Notamacropus eugenii: one gene and its partner. The protein of the gene in region 1 interacts with the protein of each later gene in a pairwise test. Links are inferred from orthologs where the notes say so. Each region holds a gene or a part of one and is shown in the gene's direction. Other genes may lie near its edges. The genes, in order: SSC5D and SEC23IP.

What was found.
Region 2: the proteins of SSC5D (region 1) and SEC23IP interact in binary tests that used the Homo sapiens proteins (3 or more experiments, as listed by UniProt). The two-hybrid records come from large-scale screens. The link is inferred for Notamacropus eugenii from reciprocal best matches to the Homo sapiens genes SSC5D and SEC23IP.

The regions. Positions count from the first base shown.
Region 1 is NC_092876.1:18,059,917-18,074,781, forward strand, and holds the start of SSC5D (soluble scavenger receptor cysteine-rich domain-containing protein SSC5D), read left to right. Parts: upstream 1-4,345; 5' UTR 4,346-4,568; coding exon 4,569-4,593; intron 4,594-5,325; exon of another isoform or gene 5,326-5,405; coding exon 5,406-5,432; intron 5,433-6,186; coding exon 6,187-6,495; intron 6,496-6,694; coding exon 6,695-6,964; intron 6,965-7,677; coding exon 7,678-7,986; intron 7,987-8,737; coding exon 8,738-9,055; intron 9,056-10,988; coding exon 10,989-11,111; intron 11,112-11,839; coding exon 11,840-12,157; intron 12,158-12,617; coding exon 12,618-13,313; intron 13,314-13,414; coding exon 13,415-13,729; intron 13,730-14,129; coding exon 14,130-14,267; intron 14,268-14,865. Other genes in the region: NAT14 (probable N-acetyltransferase 14), read left to right, coding at 2,210-2,451.
Region 2 is NC_092872.1:200,043,810-200,058,648, forward strand, and holds the start of SEC23IP (SEC23-interacting protein), read left to right. Parts: upstream 1-7,154; 5' UTR 7,155-7,184; coding exon 7,185-7,428; intron 7,429-10,183; coding exon 10,184-10,719; intron 10,720-12,394; coding exon 12,395-12,617; intron 12,618-13,667; coding exon 13,668-13,861; intron 13,862-14,839. Other genes in the region: MCMBP (mini-chromosome maintenance complex-binding protein), read right to left, coding at 569-626. UniProt on the Homo sapiens protein: Plays a role in the organization of endoplasmic reticulum exit sites. Specifically binds to phosphatidylinositol 3-phosphate (PI(3)P), phosphatidylinositol 4-phosphate (PI(4)P) and phosphatidylinositol 5-phosphate (PI(5)P).

The DNA.
Region 1 (14,865 bases):
ATCAAGTAAGCATGCTTTTATTAAGCTGCTACATGTTGCCAGGCTTGTATACAAGGTATACAAGGAAAGAAAAACCCCATTCCCTGTCCTAAGAGCTCACCATTTGATGCAAACAAGGAGGTACCAACAGGAGACTGGAGGTAATCCCAGAGGGAAGGCCCAAGGTGGAGGATGATGGGGAAAGTCAGGCTTCAGCTGAGATGTGAAGGAAGCCAGGAAGCAGCCAGGAAGCGGGGAGAGAGCTCTAGGCCTGGGAGACAGCCAGTAACAATGACCAGAGAGGGGAGCTGGCCTGTCTGAAACACAATCACACAGAAGGGACAGGGATGGGCCTCTGTATGGTGTGGAGTTGAGTACTTGACAAATATTATCTCATTTGATCCTTATTAGGAATCAAAGATATTAGTCTTATTTTACAGGTGAGGAAACTGAGGCAAATAGGGCCTCCCAGCTAATGATTATCTGAAGCTGGATTTGAACGCAGGTCTTTCTGACTCCAAGCCCAGTGCCTTACCCAGCCACCTTTGCTGCCTCTACATAGAGAAGAACAAGGTGTAAGAAGCCTGGAAAGGTGGAGGTGGGGCTCTAAAAATTAAATAGCATTTTCCACTTGATGCTGAAAGCAATAGGGAGCCACTGGAGTTTATTAAGGAGGAGAGGTAACATGATGAGACCTGCACTTCAGGAAAATCCCTTTAGTGATGGAAGAGAGGATGGACTGTGGAGTTTAGGGAGAGACAGAGGCAGGCAGACCTCCCAGCAGCTGTTGCCACAGTCCAGGCATGAGGGGGTGAGGGCCTGCACCAGGGTGGGGCAGGGTCAGAGGAGAGAAGGGAGTGGATTGGGGAGATGCAGAGGAGGTGAAATGGACAGACCTTGGCCAGGACTTGGATATGGGGGTGATAAGTAGTACGGAATCCTAGATGTCACCTAGCTTTTAAGCCTGAGGGCCCGAGAGGATAATGATGTTCTCCACAGTAATAGGGAAGGTAGTAGGGGAAAGGCTGGGGAGAGAAGATGATGAGCTCTGTGGGGGCTTGTGGAGTAAAGATGTCTGACCTTTACAGTCGAGGTTTCTGTGAGGGGGTTGGAGATGGGAGCAGAGAGCTTCAGGCTGGATACATAGATCTGGAAATCCCAGGCATCTCTAGCTGGCCATTGAATCCATGGGAGCAGAAGAGATCCCCGAGTGAGGTCATAGAGCAGGAAAGATGAGTTATGCTTTAGACATGTCAGACTCGATGCCCATGGGATGGACAGAGTCAACCATCCAGGCCTGACAATCAGGAAAGACACTGAGGTTAGCCTGAGGACTCGGGGTCTCTGGTGTAGGGATGATTGTTGCACCCTTGGGAGCTGACGAGGAGGCCGAGAGAGCTAGGGAAAGGGGGGGCCCGGAGGGAGCCATGAGGTATGGAAGGCCATAGAGAGATCCTGGGATGGGACAGTTAATTTGGCAGAGGAGACTGAGCCGGGAGGAGAATGAAGAAAGCCGTTTCCTGCAGACCTAAGGAGGAAAAAGGAACCTCTCCTTCTCAGTCCCACTGGCCTGGACCTAGGCCTCTTTTCCCCCCAAAAGCTCTTCTCCTTAGCATTCCAGCTATCCCCTCCCCCCAGGGCCCCCAGTGTTTCCACCAGGCTGCTCACTGCTCCTTCCTCAGGTCTCTCCTCGGGGGCCCACCCCACCCCTTCTCAGGCTCCCTCCACAACCTCATCCACCTCTAGCTTCCCATTGGCCTTTCCCCACCTTTCTGCCTCCCTTGAGATACCTACCATGATCTCCGCCCCACCCCCCAAATTTGGCTCTTACCCAGCCCCACCCCCCAAGTTCACCAGGAACTCCCCATCACTATTTTTACATAACTTATTTTCAATGAACCAAAGGCAGATTTTTCTCTCCCTCCCACCTTGGCTTCCTACTATGGGTCCCTCCCAAAGCCCTCCCTTCCAGAAATCTCCCCAGGGCTTAGCCTGAAGTCTAGCACATAGTAAGTGCTTCATTAAAACCTGATGACTGGCTGATCTGCGCCCTGAATATTCCCACCAGCCCTGTCCCCAGCGGATCCTTCAGAGGGCATCCTCACCAGCCCTGGCCTGTGCCCCTTCCCAGTCTTCATTAGCCTTCTCCCATCAGCCCCTCCCCACCAGGATCCCCACCAGTGAGTGCCATCTCTCTCTGTACCCCTGACTTGTGCCCCTTTATCCTCAGGATGGGGTGAAAGACACAGAGAACCGCGTGGCCCTCCATGCCCTGACTCGGCCCCCTGCCCTTCTGCTCCTGGCCGCTGCCAGCAGTGGCCTCCGCTTTGTCCTGGCTTCCTTCGCCCTGGCCCTGCTTCTGCCCGTCGCCCTGGCTGTGGCTGCTCTCAAGCTGATGGTGCGGATGCGATGGGGTTCACTCCCCTCAGACTCTGGCCTAGGAGGCCCCTGGGTGGCAGTGTGGGGAACTGATGACGTGTGCGGGGTCCTGGCCCTGAGGCCCGGGACCAGTGGAAGCAGCCTGTCCGTAGCTCGCCTGGCCGTGGCCCGCTGGCACCGTCGACGTGGTGTGGCCACGAAGCTGCTGGCCTTCGCTGAGGCCCGAGCCCAGGCATGGGCCCGCCAGGCAGGGGGCCCTAGAGCAAAGCTCATAGTTCCTGCTCCAGTAGGAGCCCGAGGAGCCGCTGCCCTCCTGGAAGGAAGGGGCTACCATCCTGAGGGGGGCTGGGGCTGGATGGGACACATATTTGTGAGGGAGTTTACGAAAGAATTCTAATGCCCACTGTGTCCTCTCCGCAACCTGGCCTTGGCTCAGGGAGGATGGAGCCATCCGGGACACCTGTATGCTTTCAAGTCTCAGCTCTGGTTCTGGCCTAGTCCATGACCCTGGCCTAGTCCTTCCCTCTGGGTCTCCATCACCCCCTAAGGACTGGGGGAAAGGATACTTGCACTGCCCACCTCACAGGATTAAATGTGGGGGATCACCCTTGGCCCATCCTCTGGCTGCTCCTTTTTATACCAGTGACTCTCTGATGACCCCCCATATCTCCCCTGTCCACTGTGGGGGTCCTCAGGCAGTCAGCCTCCAACTGCCTTTGGGTAGCTCTGTCCTCCGACCCCAACTATTCTGTGGTTCTGTGCCCTGCCAAGATCTCCCAAGGTTCTCATCCCATTTCCTCCCAGAAGTTCCTTCTCAGACATCCCTCCCTCAGACTCACTGAAGGCCCCTGCAAACACAGGATCTCCTGCTCTCGCCCCCCTCAGTTAACCTTTAGCCTCACTGGACCCCTCTGAGCAAGACTTCCCTCTTCCCAGAGCACCCTGCCCAGGATCCTTTACCAAGCGCCATCAGTGATCTTCCCCTTTTCTGGGGACCGTCCCGTGGGGTTGGACTCCCTTCTCCATCAGTTGGCTACCAGGATGACTCCCCTCTGCTTTGAGGACCCACAGAGTGACCCCCTGGCTCCCCCACACCTTGAGATGACCCTTCGTCTCTGCCTTGGGTCTCTCTCTCCCCTCCCATTCCTCCTTTCCCCTCACATCTGTTTTTATCCCCATTGTTAATAAACTGAAACTCCCACCCACTGCCTGCCTCCCTTCTGCTGTGATGCCTTTTCCAGGTCCTCCAGCCCCCTTTTCCAGGCCTGTCTGGCCCTGGAGCCACATTAATATTCGGGGAGGGAGGGAGTTCTGAGCCACTGGTGCTCCAGGCCCCAGACCCCAGACCCAGGCCCCAGGCAGGCTGAGATGAGCTCAGGCTGCAGGGCCCATCCCCTGCCAACCTTGATGACTCACGCTCCCCATTAGCACATTTTTTCCACCCCACATCTGCCTGCTGAGCTTGGGGGCCAAGTATCTGCCCCCGCCCCACTCCCCTTCCTCCCCCTCCAGCCTGGGCCCCACCAAGCCACTCTCTCTCCCCGCCCCTTCGATCCTGGGGCTATCTCAGGGCAGCCTGGCCTTCCCCCGCCTTCGGACAGGGACCTGCAGCTTGGGTCTGGCCATTTACCCTCCAGCCCTGCAGTTCTTTCTTGTCTCAACAAGTGACTGTTGGTTGGAGGCTGAACCCTGTGGTTTGGACCATTATCTGGACATCAACTGACCCTCTCCCCTAGTGGCATGGATGGTGGGGTAGGGCAGAGCAGAGGGGCTGCTGTGGTAAACAGTGAGGGTGGGACAGGAGCAGAGACCTGGAGAGATAGGCAGGAGTGGGAGACACCCAGAGGGAAGGACCCGAGGGAAGAGGGAGGTCCACTGAGGCAGAGCTCCAGGGCCAGAGGCTGCTCCAGCCCCTTTTGGCAGGTCTCCCGGCCCAGCGCCCGAAGTGTCTGGGGCCAGCCAATCCCCCCCCCCCCATTCCCCCACGCCTCCTCAGCCCCCTCCTGGTCCCCCGCTGCCTCCTCCACTGTTCTCTTCCCTTCCTGGTGCCGGCGTGTCCCCAGCCCCCGCCCGCCTGCCCGCCCCTCCTCAGTCCAGGGCGCTGCCGGCACTTCCCCTCAGCTTTTACTGCCTCCGCCTCCTCGACCTCGTCTGCTCCCCCCCGTCCCCCAGCCCCCCCAGCCTGGGTCCTAGGGGCTGGCTCTGCAGAGATGAGGGTCTTGGCCTACCTCCTTGGTGAGTGACCGCAGAGACCCAGAGGTCCCTGCTCCCAACCCCTGCCTCCTACTGACCCTAGCTCCTTCTGGGCATCTGGGAGTCCTTACTTCTCCCATTCAGGGACCCAGAGGTCCTGACCCCCAGCCCCTGCCTCCTAGACATCTGGAAGTCCTCGCTTCTCCCCTTCAGAGACCCAAGAGTCCTGGTCCCCAGCCCCTGCCTCCTGGACATCTGGGAGTCCTTGCTTCTCCCCTTCAGGGACCCAGGAGTCCCAGCCCCCAGCATACACTTTGCTCTTCTGGCTACTCTCCACAATCCTAAACATTTAGTTTTCATTACTTTCAAAAGGATCCAGCAGTCTGCCACCCTCCTCCAAGAGAGGTCCAGATGGCATCTTGTCCCCCATTGTCTTCTAAGATCCAGAAATAGGGTTCCCTGTTCCCTATTCCCTTCTCAAGAGCCCAGTCAGCTGCAGCCTCCACCGTCACTGACCTTTGTTCCCTGTGGTGTCCAGGTCTCATCCCCATCAAGGGTCCAAACATCTAGGCTCTCCTGGAAGCCAGGTTGAAGGTCCCTTCCTCTTTCTGAACTGTTCTCCCAGGGACTGGGGCTCCATTTCCTCAGGTCCTTCCCACTGGGTTCAGAGATCCAGGCATCCCCATTCAGAAACCTGGAATCCAGACCCTCTCCCCACTGCTTTGTGAATGCTCGACCCTGTCAAGGCCCTACACAGCTTCATACCTAACCCAGATCCCTGAGTGTCTCCTCTGAGGCGGTGACAGGGGCAAGGACTCCCCACCTTCACCTTATCGCCCTCATCTCTCTTCCAGCTGTTCTGATGGGGATTCAGGCTGTGGGTGAGTCTTTTCTGAGTCCCCTTCTCCTCCTTCCCTGTCATGCCCTTTGTCACCACCCAACTCCACCTCTGGGCTTTAGCTTTGGAGCTCACTGGATTCTCCCCTTCCCTCACTGGTTGTCTTGGGGATACAGGCATCAAGGATACTGTGGGCTAGACCACAGGGCTCCAAACATTAGGCTCTTCATTCTTTGTTCATGGGAACCCAGCCTTCCCCCTCCCCAGTACACAGCCACTCCCTCAGAAGCCCCGAGTCTCTACCCTGCCCATCATAAACCTAGGAGTGTGGGATCCCTGGGCCCCCTCCCCAACAGGGACCCAAGTGTCCAGCCACCCAGCAAACGTGTGCTTCTCCAGCCCTACTCATCCCAGGGACTCAGACCCTCTCAGCACCCCAGGACCTCCAACCCATTCTTTGGACAGGGACTCAGGCATCCAGCTTCCTAGCCCGGCTCAGTTCTCTAACCTTGAACTCAAACCCTCAGTGACTCAGCCTTTGGGTCTCCCAGGCCCTGCTCCCCTCACTGACCTAGCTTTTCTCAGGATCTCAGGTGTCTGCTCTCTAAACCTCAACTCTCCTCAGGCATCCATGGGGACTGGCATGCCAGCCCCTGGTTCCTTAGGGATAAAGATTTCCAGGACTCCTATCTGCCTCTTCAGCAGCTCAAGTATTTAGTGCCCCCAGGCCCCCTCAAAAGCCTAGGGATACTGCTGGGCTAGATGAGGGTCCCTCCTCACTGGACCCCCCTCGGCAGAGCGGCTTCGCCTGGCTGGGGGCCCCCATGGCTGTGCCGGGCGGCTGGAGGTGCGCCACGGGGGGCGCTGGGGAACGGTGTGTGACGACGGCTGGGACCTGCGGGATGCTGCTGTGGCCTGCAGGGAGCTGGGCTGTGGAGGAGCCCTGGCCGCCCCAGCAGGAGCTTTCTTTGGAGAGGGGATCGGGCCAGTCTGGCTGAGTGAGCTGGCTTGTCGTGGGTCTGAGAGCCGGCTGGGCCTCTGTCGTCACCGAGGCTGGAAGGCCCACATCTGCTCCCACGAGGAGGACGCTGGCCTCGTCTGTGTAGGTAAGAGCTCCAGTCCCCGGCCCTCCAGGGTCCTGCTCTTTCCTAATCCTCACCCTCTCCAAGATGGAAGTATCCAAGAACTCTGGCATGGGACCCCAAAGTACCTAACACTATGTTTTAGGAAGCCTGGCACTGGAACTCCCAGGGCCCTCCCCACTAAACACCACTAAGCTCTTCCAAATCTGCCCACTCCCTACAGGTCAGCGGGCAACCAACTCAAGGTCGGATTCAACAGAGCCCCTGGACCGGGAGCTGTGGTCTGAGAGCTCCCCAACATCCCCAGGTGAGGCCCCAAGATCTCCCCCTGCAGAATCTGCAGAGCCTGACGCTTACATCTCCCCTCCCCTTCCCTCATTCACCCTTCCCCTAGCTGGGAACCCGACAAGCAGCCCCCAGAAGGCCCCTCGGCCTCCCAAGCTGCCCAAGGCCACCCGGGCCCCTCTGCTGACTTCCAGTGCTTTCCGACAGGGTGAGTGACCACCCCCACATGTCCCTCTAAGATAGAGCCAACTCCCCTCACCCCCCTCCACCTTTTCATTTCCAGTTTAGTTCCCCCCCAAGTCCGCAGCCAAAACTACATCTGGGTACTATTAGGAATGTTCATGAGGTCAGTGGGGGGATACCTTTACTTCTTATCTCCCTTCATTCTGCCTGCCCCAACTCCCTGGGGCCTACGCGTCCAAATCCCCTTGCCCCTCCCCCCAGGACCCACATGTCCAACTCCCTAGCCCCTCCCCCGCCCCCAGGACCCACATGTCCATCTCTCTGGTTCCTGCCTCATTTGATGTCAGCTGATTCTGTACCCACTGTACAGCCCCCAAAAGGCTACCTACATGACCTGCTATTTTCATGGTCACCCCCACCCCACTCAGAGACTCAGGTATCCAGGCACCTGTTCCTTGCCCACCCTCTGCCTGTCTTAGGGATCTGGAGATCTGCCTCCTCATTCCCTACTGTCCTCAGGGACTCAGGTGTCCTCTGCATAGTCAGGTGAAGCCCTCTGGCCCTTGACACCCAGGAGTGGAGCTCCCCAGAACATATGGCCCACCCAGGCTTACCAGCCCCCAGCTTCCATTCTCCTCAGGGATCCAAGCCTCTGCCTCTTGGCCCCCAATCCCTCAGGGACCCAGGCACCTGGAGGGCTTAGATGAAGGCCTGGCTCACTGAGTCCCTCCTCTGCAGAGTATCTGCGCCTGGCAGGGGGGCCCCACAGCTGTGCTGGGCGGCTGGAGGTGTGGCACGGGGGCCGCTGGGGGACAGTGTGTGACGACGGCTGGGACCTGCGGGATGCTGCTGTGGCCTGCAGGGAGCTGGGCTGTGGGGGAGCCCTGGCTGCCCCTGGAGGGGCCCGCTTTGGGGAAGGGTCAGGTCCTGTTTGGATGGATGATGTGGGCTGTGGAGGAGGGGAGCAGGCCCTCCAGGACTGTCCCCGGAGCCCTTGGGGACGAAGCAACTGTGACCACACAGAGGATGCCGGACTAGTCTGCGAAGGTGAGTCCCAGGGCTCCCAAAGCAGCCCTCGGGGCTGAAAATCCTGTGTTTGCTCCTTTCTCCTTGGCCCTGCCACTGCCTGCCTGGGAGTGGGTCCCTTCCATGATCTGGGCCTCGGTTTCCCCATCTGTAAAATGAACTGGCTGGACCAGACAGTGTTGAGGGGCTCTGTTTTTTTTATTGCCATTGCTATATGTTTTAGCATATCATATAACAGGAATAAGGTCTTTTCCACACCCTGACATTCTAGTCTGTAAGGGAAGGGGTTCATGGACGACCCCAACCTCTACCATTTCTAGAATCTCTTCAGAGGACTTATCAGACCCCTCACCCCAGCACAGCCTCAGCCCCTCACCTGGGTGCTGCCCACCCCTGTCCTGCCTCTAACCCCACGCAACATCCTCATCCTTCCTGATGAGCAGGAAGATAAGGGAAAAACTGGAAAACAGATTGATGAGCACGGACATCAGGGGTCCCCAGGTCTTGACCTTCAAAGCCCCCTGGAACCTTTTCAATTTCTTCCTAGTCTCTCCCCTCCCTCCACACCAACTGACTAGGATGGGCAGGGGGAGAGTAGGCAGCTAGGGCCACAGGGGCACATGGGAGCACAGAGAGGGAACAAGTTTGGAGAGTTAGGGGCATGGAGAGCAGATAGAGGAGCTAAGCTGGGGGACTCAGGCCAGTCCCAGTGTTGGAGACATAGAGGAGAATAGTGCAGACTGACCCTTGTTATTTCTTTTCCCCACACCAGGTCCAGCCCCCCACTTGCGCCTGGCGGGGGGTCCCAATGGTTGTGCTGGGCGGCTGGAGGTGTGGCACGGGGGCCGCTGGGGGACAGTGTGCGATGATGGCTGGGACCTTCGGGATGCTGCCGTGGCCTGTAGAGAACTGGGCTGTGGTGGTGCCCTTGCTGCCCCAGGAGGGGCCTTCTTTGGGGAGGGGACTGGACCCATCCTGCTGGATGACCTTCGGTGCAAGGGGAATGAGACATCCCTGGGGTTCTGCCCAGCCCGCCCCTGGGGCCAACATGACTGTCACCACCGAGAGGACGCAGGGGCTGTATGTGATGGTAAGAGCCCCTCTCTACCCCCACTACCATGGCCAAGGTCATCTCCCTGGGCACCCCATGCACCCTACTCTAGGTGCCTGTGGACCTCGCTCTATTGGCCCCCAGCTCCCCCTCTTGGAAAGGGCCCCCAGACATGGGAGACTCTTCAGGGGCAAACAGAGTGCCCACTCCTCCACCACGACTGACTGTTGGGGGAGAGCCTCACCTCCCCAGGCAGCAGTCTCCACTGCTGGACAGCTCCCAACGCTGGGCCACTTTCCACCTTGAGCCTCTTCTGCCTCTGCAGCCCTGCCCACAAAGCACTGGGCTAGCCTGCCTTCCATGACGGTGCTTCGAATATTCGAAGTCGTCAGAGTGTCAACTTTTTTTAAGTACCTACTAAGTGTCAGCCACGACGCTAGATAGAAAGCACAGCAGACCATTCCTGCCTCCGGAATCTTACAGTCTGCAATGCACCAACAGTGGTGGACAGACAAGTGAGAAAAAAGATAAATAGGAAACAACAAAGGAATTCAGAGTGGGGGAAGATTCATCCTGTAGAAACTGGAATTTTAGAAGGGCCTTAAAGAAAGGCAGGGAAAGCAGAAGGCTGAGATGAGAGAGAATGCTCCAGGCATGGGAGAAAGCCAGAGAGGATGCCCAGAGCCAAGAGAGGGAGACATAGGAGGCTGGGGTCCCTAGGAAGAGTGCATGAGCTGGGGTAAGTGTAGGGAAACTGGAAGGGTGGGGAGAGATTTTGTAATTGACCGTGGATGCCATAGGGAGCCACTGGAGTTTATTGAGTAGGGGAGTGACCCAGTCAACCCCGCACTTTTAGGAAGATCATGTTAGTGGCTGAATGGAGGATGCATTTAGGGGGAGAAACTAGAAGCAGCCAGTCTTCCCATCGGGCCATTGCTGAAGTCCAGGTGGGAAGGGAGGAGGGCAACAGGGGAACAGTCCTCCTTTATGTCACCTTCCACACAGCTTTCTTTTCCATTTACATCATACTGACTCATATTAAATTAAAGTTTAATCGAGCCATATGCAGTTCCTGCCATGAAGTTGTGGCCCTCTATGGCCCCTTGATCTTTTCCAGATGAATAGTAGCATGGCTGTGCCTTTCCACTTTTTACTTGTGAAACTGATCTTTCGAACTCAAGTGCAAAACTGTAATTACTCCTCTTAAACTTCACCTTCTACTCAGTGTTTGACGCAGTCAGCAAGCTGCTAGACCCCGACGTTTTAGGGAGAGAGGGGAAGAGACAGAGACAGAGAGACAGATGCAGAGAGAGATAGAGAGCACACTCGCAGCTCACTGTCTCCTCTGAGTTAGATGATTTGGAATCTTCGCCCTTATTCCATTAGGTGATAAAAGTATTTAACAGAATCCAGCCCAGCACAGATCCCTGGAGCATTGCATTGGGCACCTCCTGCCGAGCTAACATCAAAATATTAATAGTTAGAAAACATCAATGGCCATTCAACTAGTTCTGAATTCAGCTAACTGTACAATTTCATGATAAGATTGGGTTGACTATAAAAGAGAGTTCTTTACTGGATTCATGGAAAATGTAAGAAAATAAAAGTGACTCAGACAGTCCAGGGCATTAAGCCTACAAGAACAGTACGAGGTATTTGATGGAATGCTTAGCTACCTAGCCACATTATTCTCCTGGTCTACTGGTACCTAGGTCAATAAAAGAAATGGAATGGATCTCTTCCCCCAGTGACCCTTCCCTCCCCCATCCCTTCCCCCACCGACCCTTCTCTCTCCCCCTCCTATTCCTCCTCACTCTCCTCCCTGCCCCAACTCTCTCCCTATAGACTCTTCTTTTTCCCCCACATATCTCTTCCCCACATTCACTCCACAGATATGGGGGAGTAGGGAAGAGGAAAAGCTGGCTAAGTGGCTTCAGTAGTGACTTCCTTATCATGTCTCACCCCTATCCAGGTCTGCCTCTGGGCTTGCCCACCCCAGGCAGCAGCAGTGTCGGGGCCCCAGAGACTCAGGCCCCCACTAGTGGGCCTTCTCCTGCCTCTGCCACGACCCTGCGGGAACCAGGCCCTAAAGAGGGTGAGTGAGAAGCTAGTCTGACCCCTGGGGCTTCTGCTTTCCTGGGGTGGGGAATGCAGTTATCTGGCCATTGGGTCCTCCTGAGGGGTCACCAGGAGACTGAAGACCTTGACAATTGAGTCTTTTGCCCCCCTGACCCAGAGCCTGCTCTCAGACTGGAGAGTTGGTGCTGCATTTAGGTCAGTCTGCCCAGAAAGGGTGAGGGTTTCACCCTAGGTCACCCAGAAAGCAATCCTTCAAACCTCTCATTTCACACGTGAGGAAGCCAAGGGCCAGAGAAAGGCAGGATCCAAGAGATCATCCTCCTTGTCTGAGGGGAGGGGGCTCAGAGAGGGACAATCATTAACTCAAGACCATGCATCCAGTAAGTGGCGACCAAACCCAGGCCTGGGCTTTCAGGTCACGTGCCAGCTCAGGTAACAGCACACTTCTCTTGGGCAGGCTGTATGAGTCATGATGCTCAGAACAGGACAGTAAAAAAGGGATTCTTTAATCCAGCAAAGAGGCTAAAGCCAAAGTCAAAGGTCACAGACTCAGTCATGGAACAGGCCATTCTTCTCTCTGGGCTTCAGTTTCCCCATCTGTCCAATGGGAGATTCAATTAGATGATTTCAAAGGTCCCTTATAAGTCTCAATCCTATCACTGTGGGTAGGGAATGGGTTGGAGGGGAGTTCTATCACTGGGCCTTGCCACCCAGGCTGCTCATGACCTCTGCCCTCTCCCACAGGTACCCCTCACCTTCGCCTGGTATCTGGGCCAGGCCGCTGTGCTGGGAGGCTAGAGGTGTGGCATGGTGGTCGCTGGGGGACTGTGTGTGATGATGGCTGGGATGTGCGAGATGCTGCCGTGGCCTGCCGAGAACTAGGCTGTGGTGTCCCCCAGGAGCCGGGTCCGGCCGCTGGCCGCTTCGGCTGGGGGGAAGGCCCCATCTGGCTGGATGACGTGGCTTGTAGTGGGACTGAGGTCCGGCTGGCCAACTGTCCTGCAGCCCCCTGGGGGAAACACAACTGTGCCCATAATGAGGATGTGGGGATCACTTGTATAGGTAAGGTGTTCCTATCTGCCGGCAGCCCTACCCCCAGGGCCAGCCCTACCTACCCCTCCTAAGCATCATCTTGGGGAGTTTCTTGGGGAAGGGTGGAGGGAGGAGAAGAGGAAGAGTTCCTTCCTCTACACTCTTGGGGGTCTCCCCTACCTTGGCTAGGAGGGCTTCTTTAGACTGGGGGGCCTCCCTTCTTGACTTGGGGAGGGCTTCTAGGAAAGAGGGATCTCTTTCCCCAGATCTGGAGGGCTTACTGAAAGAAGTCTCCCTTCTGAAATTGAGGAAGACTCCTTGGAAGAGTTGGGAAGTTCTCCCAAAAGGGCTCTGGGAAGGAGGGAGAGGCACACAGTCCTCTGGCCAAACCTAAGAGAAACACCTGGAGGAACAGACCCAAGGAGCTTTCCTGGAGGGGACCTTTATGGACAATCAGGAGTGTGACCTGGCCCCTGCCTTCTCTCCCCAGGGAGTCTCGGGCCTGACTCAGTCCCAAACCTCTTCAGCTGGAGCTGGGCCCCAGAGCCACGTGGGAATGGACGGGGCTGGCCCATCAGGAAGTGGACCACTGAGAATCCAGGGAACATAGCCACCCAGCTGACCACTAGCAGCCCTGGAACAACAGTGGCCAAACCACCAGGGAGGACTCCATATAGCTCCAAAAAGTGGGCTACGAAGAAACCACGGAAACCAACAGTGCGACCACCTGGACAGTCTACCACTAAGGTCCCAAGAAGGCAGACAACTCGGGTTCCACAAGGCCAGGCCTTCCTCAAACTGACCACACAGACACCCCGAGGCCGGACCCCCCAGGCCTCTCCCAAACCAACCACTCAGATTCCCAGAGGTCAGACCTCCCAGGACTCACTACTGTTGCCCTCTCAGACCACACTACTGAGCATACCAGTGACATCTTCGGCCAGCCCCTCGCTGACCACTTGGTCCTTACAAAGACAACCTTCCCAGGTCATCCCACAGCTAAGCACTCAAGGCCCCAAGGAAGCAACCCCAAAGGATCAAGATGAGATTTCCTCTGAAATCTCCTTAGACCCAGGTTCTTCCACACCAGGGGCTAAGACCAGCTGGGGGGCCTTCAAGACTTTACCCACAAGCACCCCAAAAGACTTGTCCTCTCCCCAGACCTGGCCAGGCTCTGGAGAGACAGGTAAGGCTAGAGCAGGTAGAGGGGCTGGTAGAGGGAAGGAAAGAGGGCTGGGGAGAGAGGTCCACAGGTGGGACTGAGCCTTGCCATGTGGCCATGGTCAGGTCTCCTTCGGCTGCGTCTCTCCGATGGGCCCGATCGGTGTGCCGGACGGCTGGAGGTGTGGCGTGGAGACGTGTGGGGAACAGTGTGTGATGATGGCTGGGACCCCCGAGATGCAGCTGTCGCCTGCCGGGAGTTGGGCTGTGGTGGGATACGGCCCCGCGTCGGCAAAACCTACTATGGATCTGGGACAGGCCCCATCTGGCTGGATGATGTGGCCTGTGTGGGCACCGAGGCCTCGCTAGCGGACTGTCCAGCCTCGCCCTGGGGGATCCACAACTGTGAGCACCAGGAAGATGTAGGGCTCACTTGCACAGGTATAAGGCAAGAAACCTAGAATGGGCTGGGAAAAAATGGCTCTGTGATCCCGGCAGATCCCATGATCCGAGGGAACTAGAGTGTCAGGGAGCCCAGACACCCAGGGCTAGTGTAGGGAGCAGTGAGGTGGGGTAGGGCATGAAAGGAATGGAGAGAACGAGGAAGTTGGACAGAAAGAGAGAGAGAGCACTAGTGGATGCAGAGCCTGGGCACCATTGGGAGGGACCAGCAGGGGACTGTGGCTTCTTCAGGAACCTGGGTCTAAGGGCTCTGGGAACCTGAAGGCTCCTGAGGTCAGTCATTGTAGGAGGAAGGACAGGGCTTTGCAGTCCTGACAAATGGGTCTTCTGGCCCCCCAGGGAGCCTGAAGTTTCAGAATCTCCCCATCCATCCCCACAGGAGACATGGAGGATGACAGTGATGTCCCCTGGGCCTGGGACACCAGCTCTCGCAGGGATGTGACCTGGGGAACCCGCACAACAGCTGCTCCCAGCCATGACCTCACCTCTGAGACACCCCAGGACCTTGGAGATCCAGGTAAGGAGCAGGGCCAATCCAGAGATGGGACTGACGGTGCTAACTGGGCCCCAGCCACCTCCTAAGAGCACGCCCTAGAGATCCTATGCTGTGTGAGCCCATCCTCACTGGGGTCTGAGCGTGCCCACAAGAACAGACCAGAGTGAGCCCAGAGACCCCCCCGCAGCGACACACCTGGGAAAGCCCAGAGACCCTATAATAACGTAGCCAGGGGATCTCAGGGACACTGAGGCCAGACCTCCCAGGCATCAAGTGAGGTAGCCCAGAGAAACCCCCATAAGAGGTGGGAGGCCCATCCCCTCTTGGCCCCCATCCCAGCACACCCCAGAGAAGACCAAGGCAGTGCAGGCTCTTCACAGGCTATGGCTGCTTCCCCTGCCCAGTGCCTTCCCCCATGGGGGGGCAGTCTGCTGTCCCTCCGGCTCCCTGGGGGTGCCCCCTCTATGTATCTGTCTGTCTCACTTCAGAGAGAGCATTTGTTTTGTCTCTAACCCAGCTCCCTTCCTTCCCCCACCCCCAGTCCTCCTTGGAGCTTGCCTCCCTGGCACCTCCCCTCCCCCATCTCCACTCTCTCATGGTTGTTTGTCTCTGCCACTCC
Region 2 (14,839 bases), on another chromosome or scaffold:
TCGCACAAGCCCCCGCTCTCTTCACGACCACTGCCCCCGTCTGTGGCACCGCAGAATGTTCACACCGGTTTTGTCCTTTTCAACTTTACCCGATTCCCAAGAGCACTGACAGAATGCCTGGCTGGAGTAAAGAAGACTCCACTTCCTGGCTTTAAGAGTGGCCTGGGATCCTAGCCGGGGGACCCTGGGCAAGTCACTTAGCTCCGTTTGCCCCAGCTCCTCTTCTGTAAAACGAGCTGGAGAGGAAACGGCAAAGCCGTGCAGGACCCGCGGGCCGGCCGCCCCGTCTCCCACCAGCCCAGCCCGACGGCACCCGCTGCGGCCTGCGCCAGTCCCGGGCCACGTTCCGGGTCTGGGGGCCCGGGGGCCCGGGAGGGAAGGGAGACAAAGTTCCTGCCCGCTCCCCGCCCCCCGCAGGGGGCAGCCCGAACCGTGCGGCGGCCCCGGGGCCGGGGGGTCGCCCGCCGGGTGGCGGGGGAGGGGGCGCTCGGGTCGCCCCTTCCTCAATCTCCGGGCAGGAAGGACTCCCCCGAATTACCTAGGGTTCCCGGGGGCGCCCCCCACTCACCAAAGAAGCCCTGCACGATGCCGAGCGGATGGTTCAGCCAGTCGTCCCCACACGGCATCTTGCCGAGGGGCGCGCGGAGCGGGCTGCCCCGAGCGGGGCTCCGGGGGCGACGGCGGCGGGCAGAGGGAACGATCGCACGTCCTACCGCCTCCTCCTCCTCCTCTCCTTTCGGGGTCGGCCCAAGCCCCCGGCCGCTCCCTCCCTCGCCCACGCCCACGCCGGGCAAGCGGCAGCGGTCACGGAGCGACACCGCCCGGCCTCGGGCTCGCCCCGCTCCCGGCAGCAGCAACCACGGCAGCGGCGGCGGCGGCAGCTACGAGGCGGAAGCGCCAGGAGCCCCCCTCGCCCCCCGCCTTCCTCTACGCTATGGCGGGAAACGGACGCGCCGACGGCGTCGCCTCTGACCCCCGAGCGCGAGCTGGGGAGGGGGCGGTAGTGCATTCGGTCGCGCTAGGAGGAGGGGCGGGGCGGGGCGGGGCGGGGCTTCCGGGCCCTGGCGGCGGCGTCGCCGTCGCCGCCATTTTGGAAAAGGTCAGAAAAGGAGGGCAAACTGGCGAGGCGGGGCTGGACTGGGGAGAGCCGCGGCAGAAGCTCGATTCCCCGCGCCTCCTCCTCCCGCGGCGGGGCTTGGAGCGGCCACCGTCCGGGGCACCAGAGGCAGGCCCCCTTCCTGTAGCCCCTCCAGCTCAGTCCAGCCTTCAGGCTCTGACGTGACTGGCCGTTGCGAGTAGGGGTCCCTAGGCTTGTCTGTGACTCTGGGAAGATTAAGCAGCTCGCATCTACAGAGTGGGAGACTGAGGCAGCGCTCCTTCCACAGAGGCGCGAGTGCCGGGCACGTTCTCAGGAGCCCTGGGCAGTGCCAGCTGCCTCCTGGTGTCTCTGAAACCTGCCTCCCATACGTTGGAACTAGTGACAGGGAGGTCCAGCAGTCAGGGCTTGCCTCCAGCTGCCCTCGGCCGCTGGTGACCCTAAAGGACGCAGGGACTGAAGCTCCTCAACAGCCTTGTCGGGGTCTGGAATGAAGACAGATTTCACGGGTGGCTACATAGATGGCAAACCTGAGTTAGAATAGATCTAATTAAGGCTCATTTTTATTGCTGTGAAGTCCTGCACTTTATATGCAAACACACACACATGTATGTGTATATATATACATATATTTCTCTATACGGATACATACACTAATTTATATATACTCATTCTGCTTATATGCTGTGCAACACTATGCACTATGTATATTCTACATTAGATATACACATACATGTATATTCACATAATATGTTAAATACACATTTATGTTAAGTATAGAAACACATATATTAAAGTCCTAGTGAGTGAAAATTTGAGCAGAAAAAAGCCTAGGCACCTTGACTAGGTTAAAGAAGGATGCCTTTAAAGGTGGGCTATTTGATGGTGACCATCCTCTATTATGGTCTTAGTACCTACAGTATCTGATACTTAAGTGGTGCTCAACAAATGCTTGTTAGATGAATGAATGAATGAATGCCTTTGATTAGATGTCATTTAGACTTCTTGTGAGATTTTGATCACCCAAATGGTAGGGGTGGGAAGTGACTTTAAAAATCCCAAGAGACTGATCCCTTAATTTTGCTAAGGTACACCATACCTCATGTTTCTACAAATTCACAGATAATCTTTTAAGAGCTATTCAGCTGAATATTTGTCACCTAACAATTAACCCAAGAAAGCATATTTCTGGAGTTAGCTAGATTAGACTTTAGCCAACATCAAATGGCTCTGATTTGTAAAAAGGACTTTAAAACCCTTTAAAACTATGTAAATGATAGCTATTACTATGATGATTATAACAACTGTCACTTCCTTTCTGTCTAGAGAGTACTGGCCAGACTTTTCATTCTGCTGACTGAGCCAAAAAGAACCAGGATTTTTGTTGTTCAGAATAGGACTTCAGCTCTCACCACCTCTTCGTGGCCTCTTCTTTTACTCCCTGGAAATTACTTTGTATTTATTTTCTGCTTTCTTTGTAGGATCATAGATTTAGAGCTGAAAGGGACCTCAGAGACCATATAATCCAGGGGTGGGGAACCTGTGACCTCAAGGCCATATGTGACCCTCTAAAGTTCTCAAGTGCGGCCATTTAACTGAATCCAAACTTCACAAAATCCCCTTAAGAGGATTTGTTCTGTAACGCTTGGACTCAGTCAAAAGTCAGTACCTAAAGACCTAGAAGGTCACATGTGATCTCAAAGCCGTAGGTTCCCCACCCTGATAGAATCCAACTCCTTTGTTTTACAGATGAGAAAACTGAGGCACAGAAGTGTTGAAGTAACAAGGATACATGAATCAGAGGCAGGCTTCAGATTTAGGTTCTCTGACCCTAAGCCAATGTTCTTTCCCTTTTATTCCAATGCTATTTCTATTCATGTTGTTTTCCCTAGTATAATGTAAACTTCTTTAGCAATGGAATTAGTTTATTTCTATCTTTGTATCCCAAGCACCTAACACAGTGCCTGGCAATATTTTCCTCATTTAGAGTTAAATAGTAAAGATCTTAACACATTCATGCCTATTCATGTTGTGTGACTTGTCGTCCCACAATTTTGCCACATACCCAATATGCCAGAACCTTCCTTTCTTTTTTCCCCTCCTTTTTTATCAGATTTTAAAATTTTATTTGCATGTTTTTAATAAACTGTGCATTCTAAGAACTGAAATCATTCAAAAAATTAGCACTGATTAACTGCATTTTATAGCTTCCTCAGGCCTTGTTACAGCTTTGCATTTTTCTCTGTTCACTAGATTTACTGTATTCCCACCCAGACTCTTCTTTCACCAAAGTGCAGGCTCTTTTTATGCCACTTGGACCAAAACTAGCCAGAGAAACAGATGAAAAACCTGCATAACAGTGCCTTTTTTCATTGTTGGTAGTTTTTAAAAATTTTTCTGATATTGAAAGGGGCAGCATGGTCTTTGGAGGTGATAGACAACCACTGGAGTTTACTGAGTAGCAGAATGACATGGCCAGACCTGCATTTTAGAAAAATCACTTTGGCAACTGAATGGAGAATGGAGTGGAGAGAAACTATGGCAGGCAGACCCACTATTGTAAAAGCCCAATTGTGAGATGATGAGGGTCCGCACTAGAGTGGTTGTGTTTGTCTTTCCTTCTTGAACAGGACCATGAATCAAGGTAATGACATGACTTGCAGTTGACTTTGCTTTGAGTGAGGGAGGGCTGTGCAAGTCACCAGCCTCACTTCTCCTCCAGAGCCATCTGAATCCAGCGACCAGATATTCATCAGGATGACTGGAGATGGCCTAGGATGCAACCAGAGACCCTGGCCATTTTAGGTTAAGGTCTTATCAGATTCTCACTTTGAGACACACCCACTCAATGAATGGGCTTCTTTAAGTGGTTACTCAAGAGACCGTCCTTTAATAAAAAAAAAAAAAAAAAAGAATCAAACTGGGAGGGGAAGACCCTCAGGGTTCCTGGGTAAAAGAGAAACAGTTATTATTTCATCTTTATGTTCACTCTGTGCTAGGTGGGTGGGGATCTGTTGTCCAATCATTGAGCTCCAGAGTGAATTGGGTTTAAGGCTTGGTCCTTGAGCAAGAAATCTAGTCAGTAAACTCAAAGGAAAAAAGGCAGCTTTTGGCCCTGGAAATGTATTTTCCCCTGGGTAGAGCACCTCAGGCCAGGACATAGAGGAGGGGAGGGGAGGGGAGAGGAGCTGCCATTCCCTCACAGGTTGTTTGTCCTTCATTCTCGAAGAGGACCATGATGTCAAGATGATAACATGACTTGCAGTTGACTGATTTGAGCGAAGGAGTGCTGTGCAAGGTCACTAGCCTCACTTTCTCCTTCAGAGCCATCTGGAGGAATCTTGTAAAGATGAAATCAACAGGCCTTGACAACAAGTTGGATATGAAAGGCAGGGATTTTTTCCATTTTTTTTTTTTTCGATTTGCATGGTGTGGAGGATGGAGGCCTGGACTCTGGAGTCAAGGGGACCTGACTTCACATTTCATCTCAGACACTTGCTAGCTCTATGACCAGGAACAAATCATTTAACCACTTTGTGCTTTGTTTTCCTCATCTATAAAAAGATGAGGTTGAACTTAATGGACTCAAAGTTCCCTTCCAGTTCTAAATCTATGATCCTAAGATCTTATATATTCCAAAGCACATGACTCTTGAAAAATTACTTTATACCAATGGTGTTAATACTTGTGTTTTCTCCAGTGTCTTATTAAACAAATGGAGATTGTCCCTAATTTGCCTTTTCATAGCCCTGGCAGTTAGGCAGGATGATTAATTTATTTTCTTTCTGAAGCATTACATTTTTTCCAAGAGGTACATTACATTCTTCTTAGAATGCATTGAATTCTTTTATCAGTATAGAATTGCTCTAATTCTTTTTATTTTGTAGCCCAGTTAACTTTTCCAGAAGGGAGGGATATACTGGGAAAGAGATAAAAGAAATTATCTTGCTCCATCAACAACTACTTATGCCTTTTTCCAATTTCTACTCTGAATGGAATAAAGAGAATGTTATTATTTATAGAAAGAAGGGGAAAGGCAGTGGCTAAATTAGGATGGGGTACAAAAACAGAATATTCTGCTCCCTAGATGACTTGACAAAAAATAATTTAGTTAGATCTTTTAACTGTCATTTTCTTCTCTATTAGTAATTATTTTCTAATAGGAAACTTGTAGGCCAGTACAATTTTACTTTAGCCCAGAGTTAATGGTTCTGGACCAGAAATGTTCTAAGCTCCTTAGAACATTCCTGGTTCCAAGTTTGCCATATTACAATCTGATTCTATTTGAAAAAGCCTTGAAACCATTTTCATGTTCCCTAGAGTATTCTGACCTTTCTGGTCAGATTATTTGTGGGAAATATTTTGTATCTACATTTGCCTTAGTGACTATTTCTTTACTTTTCTATTTTTTGAACGCTAGAAATAGAAATAAAAGTGCCAGTATTAAAAATACTAATTGGTTTTGAAAGTTAAATTGTACAATTTAGATACTATTCAGCAAGCCCTGAATACTTATTTCTTACATTTGGTATAGAATAATCACACCTTCTGACTTTACAAAGAATAATTCTTGATACAAAACTAATGCTCAATAATTGCTGACAGTTTTGGGACTATGGGAGCACGGTCTGTAAATTTTTTTTTTATTTTAAGCTGTATCAATATAATTAGCTTCTTTTGTAATCATATGTATTTTATTTTATGAATTTAAAAACATTAATCTGAGGAGTCCATAGGATTCACCAGACTGACAAAGAAGTCCATTTGATCAGTTATTCCTAGATATTTCTCTTCTATGTGACCTAAAAGTCTTAGCCTAGCCCTCTATTGTCTGTTACCTCTGAATTACCTCCAGCTGTTTCCACCCTCCACCACATCAAAATCCTCTCTGGGTTCTCACCTCTTGTCACCCGGGTCCCATCAAGATCCTCGCTAAATCCCTACTCCCATCACCCCAAACTACTAGACCCTCCCCCTCCGATCCCTCCCACAGTCTTTCTGTACATAAGATCCTTCTCATCTCCATGAAGGCGCTCAGATTCAGTCTAGCTCTGATTCTCTCTGGCTGAGATTCAATCTGGCCTGCTGGTCAATACAAGTGTCACAAATGCTTAGGCTCCTTAAGAGTCAACCCAGTATAAACGTTGTTTTTCTTTGGCCGTATTCATTTGGTCAGGACCTGGGATGTTGGCATTTTGGGGTCCCAAACCGCAACGTTATTATTCCCTAACCTCAACAGTACAAGGGGAAGACTGCGAAAGACCTCCTGCAAAGTGTGGGATCTGAGCTGAGACCTGGGGGAAGCCAAGGGCAAAAGGAGGGGGGCATTCCAGGCCCTTCTCTTATGGAAGGAGGGAAGGCATTTCCTTAGTTCTTTTTTACAATCACAGGGTACACTGTACTGGCTACACTGCCCAGGAATGCTGCATATTCGTCCCTTTGCTGGTTCTGCTTCCTCCAGTGTGCATCTTCCGATGCTTCTCTGATGCCCCCCCATCTCTGGTTCTTAAGTGGCTGCAAATACTCTTCCATGACATTCACGTCCAGCAGTTTTTCTGGCCAAATCCCCGAACTGACGAGCCCTGGCCTCATTTCCAGCTGTTTGCTGCCATAAAAAATGCTGCTGGTTTGGTTCCTTTGCGTAGAAAAGAACATAAACCGCTCACAGCTCCACAGCGCCACCTTCTGGCAGATCTGCCTTCCGGGTTATGCAAAAGGGCGGGGCTCAATCAACGTCACGAGTGACATCACTAGTCTCCTCCCAGGGCACTCGGGGGCACGCCTCCAAAGTAGTTCCGGAACTGTCCTTTGCCGTGTGAAACGTTCGAAATGCTTTCCTTTCCTTTTGCTTCACGTACTTTTTGTATCGCCTGTAATGTTCCTGGTACGCGGAGCTCGCCCTAAGCCCGTCACCCATCTTCCCCGAACTCTCGAAGCCCCAACTGTCTCCCAGGCTCGCGATCGAGTGAGGCCGCGGCGGCCATCTTGACTCCGGCTCAGGAAGGGGTGCTGTAAGAGAGCCGCCGTAAGGCACGGAAGGGGGCGGGGACGGGGCTGGCCAGCTGATCTTGGAAAGCTCAGCGCGCAAATGCGGAAGCAGCCCGGCCCCTCGTCTGACCCGTTTCCGGCCGGTGGAGCCGCACCGGCTGGCCTGAGACGTGTAAGCGGGAGGCGAGCCGGAGCCATGGCCGAGAAGAAAGCTAACGGCGGCGCCGGCTCCTCCGCCGGCACCAACTTGCTCTTCTCCTCGGCTTCCGAGTTCCACTTCAATGTGCCTTTCATCCCTGTCAGCCAGGCCCCCGCCTCCCCGGCCTCTCTGCTTCTCCCGGGAGGTAGGAGCGAGGGCTGCGGGGGCCGGGTGTGGGGTGATGGGCACCCAGGGCAGTGGGCAGTGGAAGTGGACGGCGAAGCGGGAGGGGGCGCTCCGAGAGGCACGGGGCTGGCACCCGAGAAGGGGAGGGGCCGTGTAAGAGCGACGGAACTCTTCCTCCTTGTCCGCCCCCCGCTGTGTTCATGGGGGAGCTGGCAGAGATTTGAGCTCCCGAGGAAGAGTGGGTACTTCATGGGAGGGGAATGGCCACCCCGAGGTGGGGATCACTAGAGAAATGGAGAACTGCAGTCAGGTACGAGTCTTAAAGGGACTGGAAAACCTTCCTCTCCGGCGCGTTGGTAAGAGGGATGGACCACCAGTGAATGCTGAAGGGTTCCCGTGTGGGTTTCCAGGGGTCTTGTCTCCCGCCCTTCTGTGCTCCCCAGCGGGAAGGAAGGGGTTACCCACTCTCAGGGGGTCGTTAGAGTGTAATTACGGGGAAAGGGGAGGAAGCCTGTTTTGAAAAGTGGGGGAGAGAGCTCCGAAGAATCATCAACTGTGAGCCGTTTAGGTGGAAAATTTGCCAACGGTCCAGTGACGTAGGTAGCCCAGGACTAAGGTTTTCAGCGTCGAAGAGGCGGAGGCTGGGGAGGGAAGCATTTTGGAAAGCCAGCAGTACCTTGCCATGCTGGCAGAGGTACCGGATCTTGGACATTGATGGAATGCGAAAGCCCCGGATCACTCTTGGAGGTGCATTGACCATATTTCTGCTTGCCTTCCTGTTAAAGAATGGTGGTGTGTAACTAAACATTATCACTAAACGTTATCAGCTGCTTATATCTGGAAAACTAACTTGAGCTTTTAAATACTTGTATTTGCACTTGAAGTAATTTCACCTTTAGGAAGAAAGTGAACAGCGCCTGTTACATAGTAGATACTTAATAAATGCTAGTTGACTGATTGACCAAGATTTGAAACTAAGTAACATTGGACGTCTCTGTCTTTCCCCAGTCCCCCACATTCAATAAGTAGTGAAGTTCTTTTCATGCACAAGTTATTTGTGTTACTAATAGTTATCTGTAGCTGATTGTAATTGACAAACTTAGTGAATGAAAAGACTCAACCGAAGGAACACTGTTTCTCATGTGAAATAGAGTGTAGGAAGGAAGTTGATTGGATTAGAGAGTAAAATGAGAGTCCAGCACTGGAAGAGGTCCAGAGTTTCTTGAAGGAAGGGTCTAGTTTGGGCCACCATACTCAGAACCAGGCAGACCTTGCCCATTCCATTCAATTGTGGAACAAATCAATGAAAACTCAAAATAGCATGAAGAAATATCTTGGATTGAGGGATCCCTATGGGATAAAACCTAAGGAATATAGTATCTACCTCACAAGTCCAGGTAAAGCCTCAGGAAAAAAAATTTGTGCTGGTCACTGGGATTTCCAGGAATACCTGGAAGAAAAGAAGTAATAGTGACAGAATAGAAGGTTAGGGAGGCAAGTGTGGAATAGAAAACTGACATCTTAGAACATGCAGTGAAAACCTTCATTCAAGAACTGAATTCAAGGGCCAAGCGAAAAAACACAACAGGAAATATTTTTTAAAAACTCAAAAGATTATAAAACGAAAGGCTGGACTATGCATTTCTGTGTGTATTGACTTAATTCTCTTTTTAAACATTTTTATTTATTCAGGTAGTGTGTAGTTGGAAAGACAAATTAATAGAAAAAATTTACACACAGATGAGGGAGTTCAGAAAGGGACAAAGACAGGCATGATAGTTTAGTATTATTATGGTACATTTAACATACACTTTTAAAAAAGCAAGCTGTATATAATACACCTGAATTGTATTGAATGTAATTGAGATTCACAGTTTCATATACAATCCTCTTTCTTGTTCTGTCTTTGAATATCCATATTTGAATGTTGATATTTGTTGATATTTTTCAATTGAAATAATAAAAAACAAAATTTTAAAAAATGGTATAGAACTCTCATACCAATTGAGAATCACTGGAATGTTTTGAGGAATGGAGTGACATGAATAAAAATGGAAGGCAATGAGAAATGAGTAGAAAATCTTTTAATATACTTAGAGCCACATAGACATTTACTGGGTCCTGGCAGAGGATTTTGTGCTGGAATTTGAGTAGGATGGATCAGTGTGGAGTGGAATAGGATGAGCCCATATAATAATAGTATAAAATGACAAAATCATTGATGTTACAATTCACTTTATGTTAAGATTGAATGTATAGAAGGATTTAGGCTTTGGACATATTTCTTGGGGATTGATGATGGTGTTTCCTATGAGTCTGTTTATCTTGGCCAAAGAGATGAATGATAGTTCAAAGCTTTAAATTTTTGTCTGCCTTAGTTATTAGTAATTGACTTTACTAGTTGACTTGGTGTTTTTAAAATATCAATTTGTGGTACTAGATGATTTGGGGAAATATAATTCACTTGATTTTATTGTCAGCAGAATTTTCATTTGTAGAATAATTGCTTTATGTTTTAGAATATAATGTTGCATCTACTCTTGTCAAGAAAAATTAATACATTTATTTGAATTTCATGTCATTACCATAGAGCTGTTTGAGTAGTGAAGAACATAATTTCAATTATTTATTGCAGCAGTTCAAAATTCATTGACTGAGTGGATACATTATTAGAAATATTTTGCAGTGTAAGTTTTAGAGAATGGCACATGCTTTTTCAGAACTAAGTGGTAAATTTAATCTCAACTATGTTTCTACTCTATTCTTTATTTCAGAAGACTCTACAGATGTTGGTGAGGAAGACAGCTTCCTTGGTCAGACTTCTGGTCATACTACTTTACCACAGACATTTAGTTATTTCTCTCAGGTATCCAGCAACAGTGATCCTTTTGGGAATATTGGACAGATGCCATTAACAACCGCAGCAGCACCTGTTGGAGTACCAACTTTGTCTAAGCCTCCAACTTCCCTTCCTCTTACAACTGGATCTCCAGATGGTCCACATACATTCTCATCACACATTTCAAAGACTCAGTCTGTTTATAGTGTTGCACCACCTTCACAGATGGGAATCAGTGCTTATCAGTCTTCTCCACATAGTAGTCTCCCACCTACTAATTTTGCAAGTTCCCATGGAACACCACAACAAGGATATAATCCATATCGCCATAACCCTACCAGCAGCAGAGCTAACCCTTATATTGCTCCACCACAGTTGCAGCAATGTCAAACACCAAACCATCCTGCCCATCCATCATCCTCTGGACCACCTCTTCAGATGTATCAAAGTCCTCCTGGATCAATGCCACCGGTATAGAAATTCTCTTTAATTCACTTACTTCTTCTAATTCTCATCACTCTTTTTAGTCTTATCCTGCATTTCAAACATTCTGTGCTTTTTAAAAGCAGGAATATGAAAGTTAATTATTTTTTATTTTGGTAAATAGTATTTTATTTTTTCCAATTACATGTAAAGATAGATTTCAACATTCCTTTATATAAGATTTTGAATTCCAAATTTTTCTAACTCCCTCCCTTTCCTCTCCCATCCCCAAGATGGCAAGCAATCTGATATAGGTTATACATGTGATTTGCGGAAATGTATTTCCACATTAGTCATGTTATGAAAGAAGAAACAGAACAAAAGAAAAACCACAAGAAACAAAGTGAAAATAATATTCTTCGATCCACATTCAGATTCCATAGTTCTTTCTCTGGATGTGGAGAGCATTTTTTGTTATGAGTCTTTTGGAATTGTTTTGGATCATTGTATTGCTGAGAAGAACTAAGTCAGTCATTATTGATCATTGCACAGTGTTACTGTTACTGTGTACTATGTTTGCCTATTTCTGCTCACTTTGCTCATCTTCAAATCATTTAAGTCTTTCCAGATTTTTCTGAAATCCACCTGGCAAGGTAATTACTTGTAAAGAAAATGTGAAACCTATATTCTTTGTAGTAAAAGCAATTTTAAAATAAGATGATTACATTTATTCTTTCTTTTTATTACTTTAAACTACTTAAAGTAACTGATTAAACTGAATAACTTGCAAATAAAAGAAGTTTTAATGTAATGCAAAGTATGAGTAACTTTATAAAATGAGAAATATTCAGGAGCAAATATTTTGGGATATAATCAAGTACAGTTTTCATTTTTAAAACCTTAGTTATTAAAATTGATATATACTTCTATAGCTGCTTTTAGTTTTTTTAAATAGGTACTTGATCTAAATAAAAAAAATATTCTATCATATGGTGTACTGTTGGAAGAAAATTTCTGCACCTTTTATGAAACTCTTTGATTTTTAAAAAAATTTTTGATTAAAAAAAATTATGAATTGTTAACTGATTCCAGAAATTCACCTGGAGCTACAAATGAAAAGAATAAAGTATCTGATCCACCGAAACAAAAATAAGTGATGTGATGACCAGCATCAAGTTTAGTTTGTAATCTTGTTTTGTTTTCATTCTAAAGTGTGGGAAAACAGGCATCATCACTAAGTTCATATTTCACTCATGCTATGTCAGCACACAAAAATCCTGAGGAAAGGCTTTTCATGCCCTTAAAAAGTAACTAAATTGATTTCAGTCACAGTTTTGTCTTAGTGCTTCTAACTTGAAAATATTTTAGATAGAAAAATTTCCTTCTTTGATTGTAGGGCTAGTTTATAAGGCCCTTAGGAAGATCTTAAGGAGCATTGTTAGGTGTGAAGAGAGTGCATAATTATTATTTCCAAGATAATAATACTTCACATTTGTTTAGAACTTTAAAGTTTGCAAAGCCCTTTACATTTGAGCCTTAAAAGAATTGTCTGGGGGAAGTACTATGTAGATATTATCCCAATTTTACAGATGAGGAAACTGAGCCTCTGAGAGACTGTGATTATACAGTTATTAAGTGTTAGTATCTAAGGTGCTCCTTGTTGCCTCTGAGTTCAGGCTGCTGCATCTCAGACTTGGAGGAGACATGGGGTTTTTCTTTTCAGATTCCTCCAGCAGGACAGACAGTCTTGTCATCACCAGTACAACAGCAGCTTCTGGCTAGACCTGCAGCTCCTGTGATACAAGCACCACCTCCTCTTTTCCTCCAAAATCTGTATGAGGCAGTTCAGCCCCATTGGTTTTATTGCAAGGAAGTGGAATACAAACAAATATGGCTGCCATTCAGTATGTTTGATTCTGTGCATCTTGAAGAAGTCTATAATTCAGGTAAGTACAAATTTTCTTTATTTTTTGGCAGGGTGGGATGAGGGAGAGAAAAATTTTAGGTATGCTGTTGGAGTTGAAGGACCTTATTCCTTTCTTTTCCATTGACTTTTTGTGAATATCAAATTACTTGGTTCTCTTTTTTTTTTAAAGGTGGAAAGTGTTAGTAATACTTTTTGATCAAGGGGTATATGTTTTGAGTTGAATGATCTTTCATTTTATGTAGAAAAACTGTTTAAATAAAAATCCTTATATAATCCATCTATTCATTTTTTGTTGTTTTCCTCTTTTTAGGGTAGCAAAGAGACATTTGGCTTCAGAATTTGATTTTTATAAAGCAAGAATTTATTTCTTTGGAATATTATTCTAGTTTTAAAACAAAAACTTTCAAACACTTTTGACCTAGAAAGTTTTTTTTTTGGACATAATTTTCTAGATCATTCTTGTGAGTTACTAGTTTAGTATTTGATATGTAGAGGGACTCTTTATTCTTTTGAAAAATTTGGTATTTATAATTACTGGGCAATATGAATTTTTTAAAAGTTGGACTTTTGAGTTAGTTGGTTTAGTTTGAGTTAGTTGGAATTACCAGTGAGGAACAAACATTTCTCTGGCTAAAGATATCAGTACTTTCTTTTTTGTTTTTTAAAGAGAGTTGTCTGGGGTACTGAAAGCTTAATTGATGACAGACCAAGCTAGTATAAGTCATTGGTGGGACTGGAACCCAAATCGTTTGACTTTTGAGGCCTGTTCTCTCTTTCTATTACACCACCCTGATGTCCTTTTTGTCGCACTTCTATTTTTAAAAATTCCATATATATTTTTGAATTATTTTATGATAATAAGTGTTTATTGCTCTCTGGCTGTGGTCCTTGAATCTTATTTCTTCTTGCTGAGGAAAAAAGAAAACTTAAAAGTATCACAGGTTAATTTTAAAACTTTTTTTCAACTGGATAGATGAGTTGGGCATTTTGTTGGGAATGTCATCTGTTTGTAGATTAGGAGGAAGAGTATATTTAAGTGTCTAAATAAAGTTCATATTTTACATTTTAGTCCAGCCAGATCCTGAGAGTGTTGTTTTAAGTACGGATGGTGGACGCTATGATGTTTACCTCTATGACAGATTGAGAAAAGCTGTGTATTGGGAAGAAGAACAGACTGAAGTTCGACGCTGTACCTGGTTTTACAAGGGGGATACAGATAGCCGGTATATTCCTTATACAGAGGAATTTAGTGAAAAACTAGAGGTATGCATCTTAAAATATTTTATCATTTGTTTAAAAAAATATAGGCACAATATACATGTGCCCAATGGAAACTAATTCTCATACTGTTTTCTCTAAAGCTACGTTTAATATAAGGTGATTCTTTCTTGGACCTTCTTATAGGACTTAATTACTAAGTTACCTATTGGATCTCTTTATAGTTGTTTCACCTTTAAAGGAGATCAGCCTGTTCATTGGTTCATAGATTTAGAGTTGGAAGGAACATTGATTCTAGACCCATTCTTTTAACAGATGAAGAAACTGAAGCGCAGAGAAGTTAATTGACTTTCCCAAGGACACACAGGCAGTCTAAGGTAGAGCACGGCTTTGAGTCCAGGTCCTCTGACATTATTTCCACTATACCACTTCAGTTCCCTGAAGATTATTGTACTGAGATTTATATATGTTTTTAGGGAACAGTGCAAATGGAAGAACTTAGGATAATGGGGTGTTTTCTTTTGCTCCATCCTCATTTTGGTTAATTGTGTGGATCAAATACCATTGGTTATGTTAGTTCTTAGAATGAGATGCAAAATTTGGTATTAATTAATATGTGGAAATGAGTATAAAACATAGAAAATAAGTGTCATTTCTTGGTTATTTCTTGGTTACTCTCAGCCTTATGCTGAACTAACATTATCCTGTTTTAATCTAGCTCTTGTGCATGGCATTCCCAAATACAAACTGTATTTTTTTCAACTAGTTTTTCCAGTTTGCAGACTAAAGATATGTGAGTTGTCTCTTAACATTAAAAAGGAACTCTGTTGTCAAGTATCATCTCAGGATTCTTTTTTAATATCTTGAAAGCAGTGTGTAAGTTTTGCTTCCTGTTAGGACATGGTATATTCAAACATTACCTTAAATGTAATTCATTGCACCTTCTCTGAAAATGCTGAAATCTGTAGTACTGAAAACTATTAGATGCCAGAACTGTACTGACATTGGCCAAAGAATAAGGAA